2 linked regions of the Neurospora crassa OR74A genome follow. The protein of the gene in region 1 purifies or fractionates together with the protein of each later gene. This does not show direct contact. Links are inferred from orthologs where the notes say so. Each region holds a gene or a part of one and is shown in the gene's direction. Other genes may lie near its edges.

What was found. The genes of interacting proteins can lie anywhere in the genome.
Region 2: the proteins of NCU03246 (region 1) and NCU05251 purify together in Saccharomyces cerevisiae (affinity purification with mass spectrometry; 4 studies listed by BioGRID). This does not show direct contact. The link is inferred for Neurospora crassa OR74A from reciprocal best matches to the Saccharomyces cerevisiae genes CDC14 and RPA12.

Annotation. Positions count from the first base shown.
Region 1 is NC_026501.1:5,041,822-5,045,928, forward strand, and holds the start of NCU03246 (tyrosine-protein phosphatase CDC14), read left to right. Parts: upstream 1-1,307; 5' UTR 1,308-1,853; coding exon 1,854-1,911; intron 1,912-2,131; coding exon 2,132-2,434; intron 2,435-2,495; coding exon 2,496-4,099; 3' UTR 4,100-4,107. Other genes in the region: NCU03245 (hypothetical protein), read right to left, coding at 1-240, 454-485. UniProt on the Saccharomyces cerevisiae protein: Protein phosphatase which antagonizes mitotic cyclin-dependent kinase CDC28, the inactivation of which is essential for exit from mitosis. To access its substrates, is released from nucleolar sequestration during mitosis.
Region 2 is NC_026504.1:5,596,174-5,599,616, reverse strand, and holds NCU05251 (DNA-directed RNA polymerase I polypeptide), read left to right. Parts: upstream 1-1,301; 5' UTR 1,302-1,840; coding exon 1,841-1,955; intron 1,956-2,078; coding exon 2,079-2,313; intron 2,314-2,384; coding exon 2,385-2,403; 3' UTR 2,404-2,771; downstream 2,772-3,443. Other genes in the region: NCU05250 (hypothetical protein), read right to left, coding at 1-136, 269-446; NCU05252 (deoxyhypusine hydroxylase), read right to left, coding at 2,772-3,288, 3,372-3,443. UniProt on the Saccharomyces cerevisiae protein: DNA-dependent RNA polymerases catalyze the transcription of DNA into RNA using the four ribonucleoside triphosphates as substrates. Component of RNA polymerase I (Pol I) which synthesizes ribosomal RNA precursors.

The DNA of each region.
Region 1 (4,107 bases):
TCCTGCACCTCCAACACCAACGCTAGGCTGTCCATAAAGGAATTCACGGCAACGCGCAGCATGCGGTTTGTGGTGGCCTTGTAGTCGACTTGCAGGACCGTCTCCCCAGCATGTTCGCTGCCAGGAGACGCAACGGTCGAAAGTTCCCGCTTCACGAGGCCGGAGAGCTCCTTGTCCACCCTCAAAGCCTGCAGGGCAACAGAAGCTAACCGAGCATCAGGGAAGGGCACTCGGAGTGTTCTTGTCGGTTGCTGTGTTAGTGTCGATTATCTTGAAAGGTATGCAGAGTTTGAGTGAAGCAAGGATGTGACGATGATCTCATGAGACGAATGGTACAAGATGAAAAATTGAAAAAAAAATCAAAAAAAAAAATTTCAAAAATTGGAAAATAAACAGAGGATCAAAACATATCAGAACAAGGAATGAAGTAACAATCAAAAACAAATGACCTACAGCGAGCAGGGGAAGTTATCGTCGGTTGCCATGGTTGCGGTCTTTAATAACCCCGAAGTAAACACTTGCAAGAAATATGTTGTCGTGAACCAAAGGGTTTCAGACTGGCACTCGCCTAACGGTTGTCAGGGGAGTTTGTGTGGTAAGCGCTACCCGATGACGAATGTCAAATTCCAACCGCCGCGAGTGTGCCTGGGCTGTGATGACCGATAACAGGCCCTTGTGGGAAACTCTGTAGGAACCTCAAACTGTATCTCACACTGGCAATTCCGCAGTGATGTTACTATCGTCTACAGTTATCGCAAGGTCGTAGGCGGCAGGCTGGCTGAACAGGGAACGAGTTTCGATATTCGGTTGTTGCCGTGTGCTGGGCGCAAAGGCATCATGGCGGCTTTACAGAAAAAGGACAAGCTCCGGCAACACCTCCCTCTCTACCTCAGCTGGAAAGTGGAGCTCTGGGGGGGGATCTCCCGTCAGAGCGAAGCGATTGGATGTTACTGGTCCAGGCGCGACTGCGGATGCCAAGAGAGAAGGTTGTCAGGACAACGGCGGGTGAGATGGAGCTTTGAACGCGCTTATTGGGCGGTGAATTGTTTTGGAAGATACCAAGCCCCCCGAATTCTTCGCTGGCCCACGCTAAACCCCGGGCGCAGGCAGAGCGGTCGGGCAAGATCAGTTGCGACTTGGAGGCGGTCTCTGCATGGAAGGTGAGGTGAAGGTCTCGCTCGTTCTCCGGTTCGCCAGGGTCCCTGCCAATGACAATACACACACGACATACAACCTTGCCAGCAAAAACACCGCTCTTGGTAAGTACCGGTAAAGGCCGTACCTGCTACAAAACCTGTTCTCCGCAACCAGCTCATACCCACCGGTCTTTTCTGACCTCCTCCTCTCGCACATCATCATCGAGTTGCCCACTCCTTTGTTTCTTCAATTCTCCTGCCTCCGGTGCCTTCGTTCTTTACAAGAATTGCATTCTCGCAGCCGGTGTCCTCTCGTCCTTCTTTGGAGGCTTTGGCCCTTGTTTTTGGCCCTTTCATCCCACCCCGCACCTGCAGTGCAGTACACAGTCCCTTGCCTCGCGGTATAGCTACCTAGCCCAGCTTGGCTGCTTGGTTTTCCCTTGTTGGCACACAATCGCTCGCGCAAACGATCTGCGATCTCGACCTCACCTTCTTCCCGTCAATCAATCCGACCATAATTTTGGCCGACCTCAAGTACAGCCCTCAAACGACAAAAGATCGAATTGGACTTTAACATCCTTCGCTCCCGCCTCCCTATACGTAGCTCATTGCATTGCACAGCATCACTATTCCCGTACGTGCGCCTGCGCATTGTCGCAACGCCAATCGCTCTCTCGACATAAACAGTCGACTTTGAGCCTCCCAGGCCACGACGCCATGGCTCCTTCCTCCAGACACTCCAGCAATCTGGGGCAAATCATCGAGTACATTCCCGGTACGTGTAGATTATTTGTGCGCCGCTCCGGTCCTCTTAATTGAAGCTACAATTTTTTTTTTGTTTTGCTTCTGGCTCCGTTGTCCGAAAACTCCATGTTTATGATCCACCCGCATCCCATGTTCACCGCTCCGCAACGGAGCTGCTCGTCCCAATATGAGCACCTTTGAATATCCTCTACAATATCAGCAATTGCCTTACAGTATACTAACCTTTACAGACCGATTGTACCTTGCATCTTACTCTGAACCTCCTACCGAGCATACCTTGTTTCCCTACCCGGATCCTGAACCACGGTCCCCGCGCAAGCGCTCTCAACGAACAATCGACCAGGTCACGGAGCGTAAGAAGCCATACTACTTCACTGTCGACGATACTCTTCTATACAATGCCTTCCACCACGATTTTGGCCCGTTCCACATCGGCCACCTTTACCGCTTCGCCCTGCAGTTCCACGAAATTCTTGGGGCCAAGGAGAACAAAGACAGGCCGGTAGTGTTCTGGAGCAGGGCCGATCCACGCAGTAGGTCATCTAAGTCCGCCTCCTCGAGAACAGCAAAGATTGCTGACCAATGTTACCTTAGGTCGTGCCAATGCCTCTTGTCTACTAGCTTGCTACATGGTTTTGATCCAATCGTGGCCTCCGCATCTAGCTCTTGCGCCGGTCGCCCAGGTTGACCCCCCTCTAATGCCGTTCAGAGACGCCGGCTACAGCCAGGCCGACTACGGCATCACGGTTCAGGACGTTGTGTACGGCGTTTGGAAGGCCAAGGAGGAAGGCTGCTGCGTGTTGGAGACATTCGACCTTGACGAGTACGAAAAGTTTGAGAGAGTTGAGCACGGCGACTTCAACTGGATTACACCCAACTTCCTGGCATTTGCCTCTCCTCAGCATACCCCGGTTGCTCCCACCCCCGAGGGGACCGAGCAGTGGTCACTTCTGCCAAAGACCCTAGCCGCCGTCGACGCACATCCTACGCTGCCGCAGCCCTTCAAAAATGTTCTCAGGCATTTCTCGGAGCGAGACATCGGCCTTGTCGTCAGGCTGAACTCGCAGCTCTACAATCCCTCATACTTTGAAGCCCTAGGAATCAACCACATCGACATGATCTTTGAGGACGGAACATGTCCTACCCTTTCGACCGTACGGAAATTCATCCGCATGGCCCATGAAACCATCTCTAGGAAGAAGGGCATTGCTGTTCATTGCAAAGCTGGCCTCGGCCGAACAGGCTGCCTCATCGGTGCCTACCTGATCTACCGACATGGATTTACAGCAAACGAGGTCATTGCCTACATGCGCTTCATGCGCCCAGGCATGGTCGTAGGGCCTCAGCAGCACTGGTTACATCTGAACCAGGGCATCTTCCGGGAGTGGTGGATTGAGGAGCGGGTTGAGCGGAGGCTGCGCAAAGAAATGGCAGCCGCTGCCGCCGCCGCCGCTCAGGCTAACGGGACAGCGCATCCCAGCACCCCTGTCCGTGCCGTGTCGAAGACGAGTCTTGGTCGTAGCTCTAGCAAAAATGGCGTGTCCACACCCTCTAACAGAGGATCAGTTCGGACACCGCTAGGCGAGATCGATCGGGAGTCGGCGCGTGACAATCATATCGGCGTACAAGAGGATTACCTCCCCGCACCTACGCCAGGACAGCCAAGGAAGACGCAGCGGGGCGCAGTAGATCGCCAGAAAGGATATGGCCGGGGACCTATTCAGACCACTGTGGAGGAAGAACCCGTTCCCATGACAGAAGTGACAACCGAGGTGATCACAGTTCACAAGAGCTCAAGAGGGCCGAGTTCAGAGGAGGAATGGAATCTTCGAAGATCTCGGCGAAGACAGTCTGCTGCTCCAACTTCACCAGGACAACCCCCCGAACGGTCTGTCACCCACCAAACCGCTACCACGAAAACGACTGTTTATCAAGTCATGGATAATGATGCATCGAACGATATCGAGAACATTGGTACTGCCGCAGCACGAATCAAGGCCCATGACCACGCTCCACGCACTAGTTCCGCGTCTGGAGTTTTGACCAAGATACGAGGCAACACTAGTGCGAAACGCCATCCACCTGGGAGCGTCAGAGAAGCTGGTGTTCGAAAGACGAGTGGACGAGTTGGGAGTATAGGGAACTCGACAACCAGTCCGGCCGCTGTATCGGCAATGCGTAAAATAAGTGGGATGTGACCCTATTC
Region 2 (3,443 bases), on another chromosome or scaffold:
AGTGTGTGCTGAACGCGTTTGCTTGGACCTGTGTTGTGAAGTTCTTGATTGAGGCCATCGAAGTCCTGAGTGTTGAGGAGGTCGATCAAGCTGGGGGCGGGCGACGCAGCTCCGATCGAGGGTGTCGGCAAGATACCTAGAGGTGAAGACATGAATGGTTAGGACTCGCGTGACGATATTGGAACGAAGAGGAGAGGAGATAGGCATGACGATATACGGGGGAGGAGCAAACATGGAGTGTCTCAGAGTTGGGATGGTTTGATCTTACTTGGGTCGAAAGGCACGATCGAGGTGAAAGGCGTATAGGGCAGAGCTTCGTAGAGGGCAAAAGGTCTCGTAAATGCCACAGCTTGTTGCGTCGATGAGGACGCCGGCGCGCCTTGGGAGCCATGGTAGTCTTGGGCGTTGGGATCCATGCTGTGGTGGTATGGATGCTGGTATGCCATTGTTGCTTGATCACTTTGACAGCAGCATTAGCGCATGGTGATTTGGATGGTTGGGTGTGTCCGGCGCAAATGTCGTCCCAGCCGGAGGGCACCGGCGGCAGCAGCAGCAGCAGCAGCAGCGGCGGCGGCAGTAGTAGACGCAGTACCACGTCAGGACCCGGAGCCCAAAGTTCAGACGAGAGCCGGAGGTGTTGTTGCCATGCGAACCGACTGCTTTCGGCGGAATCGTGTAGGCAGTCGCGGAGGAGGGGCCTTTGTCCCGCGGCGGGTCAGTGTTGGCCTGGGCGCGTCGGATGGACTAGTTGGAGAAGACAAGATGGATGATGGTGGTTGAGGAAAAGAGGAAATCACGCTGCAGGCACAGGTAGTGTGTCCATGTCGTCGCTTCGATGTGTTCGGACCAACAACTGAACAGAACCTGAGAGTGAGGGGACTGGTCAACAGACAGATAGAAATAGCTAAGGTAGGTGGGATCGGGCACGATTAAAGATAGAGAGGTAGAGGTGGGTAAGTACGTGTGGTCGATGTTGAGGTTCAAGGAAGGTGAAGTTCAGGTACTGTACCCAAATTGGAACTCAAGGGAAGGAAAGTCCAATGGATCCAAATGTATGTTTCCCTTCCCCAGATTTGATCCGCAAAGCAGGGCGGGCACTGGGCAGGCACGGGCAACGCACAACGCCAACACGGGAAACAGCCCTGTGAGCTTGGTGGGCACGGCGCGCGGTCACGCTACTTACTGTAATTCGAGTCCCCGAACCCCGGCCGGTACTGCACAGGTAGGTAGCTAGCACCTGCCATGCCGTGCCGTGGCCGTCCCGTACTTGCCCAGCTACACTACCTACCTACCTAACCCCAGGCGTGTTGGCGCGCTCGGTCGTGCTTGCCGCGTCTCCATGTCTGGCTTGCAATTTACGAATTCAACTTGAACCCAACTCAGCGCCAGAAACACGCGGCCTGCGCTGGATATGGGGCCTTGGGGGGGCAGATTCCCTTGGTCCCACCTGCCGTGTCATCAGCGTGGATGGATGGTTCCCTTGTTGCGGTTGTGCCTTCCGCCGTCACTCGTCATCGCCCATGCTAAAGTACCTACGTCTAGGTGCCTGTAGCCTGCCCCGGCTTTCATTGCTCGCTGCCAAGCAAGTTAGGTTGCCTGCCAGGAAGCAAGCCAGGAGGGTCCCCCAGTGGAATTTTCCATTGCGCGCCCAATCAATTGCCATGGTTTTGCCGTGCCATTGATCGTCTCCATGCAGGCCCGTTGTAAATCTTGAAGTCCGCCGGTGTTTACTGCGAGAACGAAACAACAGAAAACTTCAAGTTAACCGAACCGCCGACATCGATCAGACAACCTACAGTACCTTGACCACCGTTCCGGCACAAACCAAGAAGAAACAACAATGGCCGCCATCGGATCCCTCATTTTCTGCACAGACTGCGGCAACCTCTTGCCCGTCTCCAAGGGCAGCGAAAAGAACATTCTTCACTGTGAATGCTGCGGTGCCGAAAACAGAGGTGCGCATTCAATTCACTTTACCCAGTCAATATCCTCCAGAAGACGGTGTTCAAGAAGAAGCTTTATTTCATCCGAGGATTGCAACTTGAACAAACTGACCATCTTTCTTGGTTTCATTCTAGATCGTCCCTCCAGAACCGTCGTGACCAAGTCCAAGCCGTCCGATTTCCCCTCGCTTTTGCGCCAGAAGCTGGATATCGTCCAGACCGTCGTAAGGCACGAGCTCAACACGGAGAGAATCGACTCCAACACAGAATGCCCCAAGTGCGGCAAGCGCGGTATCCGTTACTCGGAAGTTCAGCAGAGAAGTGCCGACGAAGGCTCAACAATTCTGTACAACTGCGACTGCGGAGAGAGGTATGATGCGACACCGCCGGACGGTTATTATAGCTGTGGTTTGCTTTGTGCTAATTCGAGGTACAACACAGATGGTCGGTTAACAACTGAGTGCAAAGAAGATTGCTGCAATTGGATTTACAAAATTGGGAATGCTGTTTGGGTCGCATTGGTTTGGTTTGGATCCAACGACATATGGGACAGCTTACTAGCACCAGCATTGGCAAGCCGAGCTTTAGTAACGACGGCTTTCTTTGCCTTGTTACAACTACTACAACTACAACAACGATACCCCTTCTTTTTGTCAGGACCGACGATCAGTCGCATTGGTATAATCCTGAGAGAGAGAGAAAGACGCATAAACTTTTTGAAATACCCTTCCATCCATCCATCCATGATTCGCCCCAGAAAAGAAAAAGAAACAAGCAATCAACGAACGCAATCAACGAACCAACAAGAGAAACTCAAAGTCCCATCTTTTACGACGCCTTGCTAGCAACCTCGGGTATCAACGCGTACTCAGCCTGGCCGCTCTGCTCAAACTCGGCCATATCCAGCGCAACAATCACACTCTCGCGAACGACCTTCTCCTTGTCATGGAGGAACTTGAGCAGCGTCTCCTCGACCCCTTCCTCATCACCCAGACTGCCCAAAGCCTCGGCCGCCTCGTGACGGACCATGCTGACCTCGTCGAGGTTGCTGAGGGCCTCGGTCAGGGCCGGGATGGAAGCCGGGTGCGACAGCTGTCCAAACACAAAGGCGATCTCGTGGCGGAACAAGGCGGACTCGTCCTTGAGACCCTTGGCCAGGGCCAGGATGGCGGGAACGGCAGTCGGCAGGTCGGGAGGGGAGGCCAGGTCGCGGAGGGCGAACATGGCGCGGTATCTCTTGAAGAGGGGGAGCGAAGTGTCTAGGAGTTTCTTCTCGAGCGTCTCGACCGTTTGCTTCTCGTCGTCTTCGGGCATGGGAGGGGCGGGATCAACCGAGGCAAAGTCACTAGAAGTAGTAGTTTTCTGCGGTTAGCACACCAATGGAAAGAATGCCAGAACAGAAATATGATGTTGTCAATGTCAATGTACCTCTGGCGCAACTTCTCCTGCTTCCTCTCCTCCGAATTCTCCCACTCTATCCTATCAATCGCAATCTCGCAC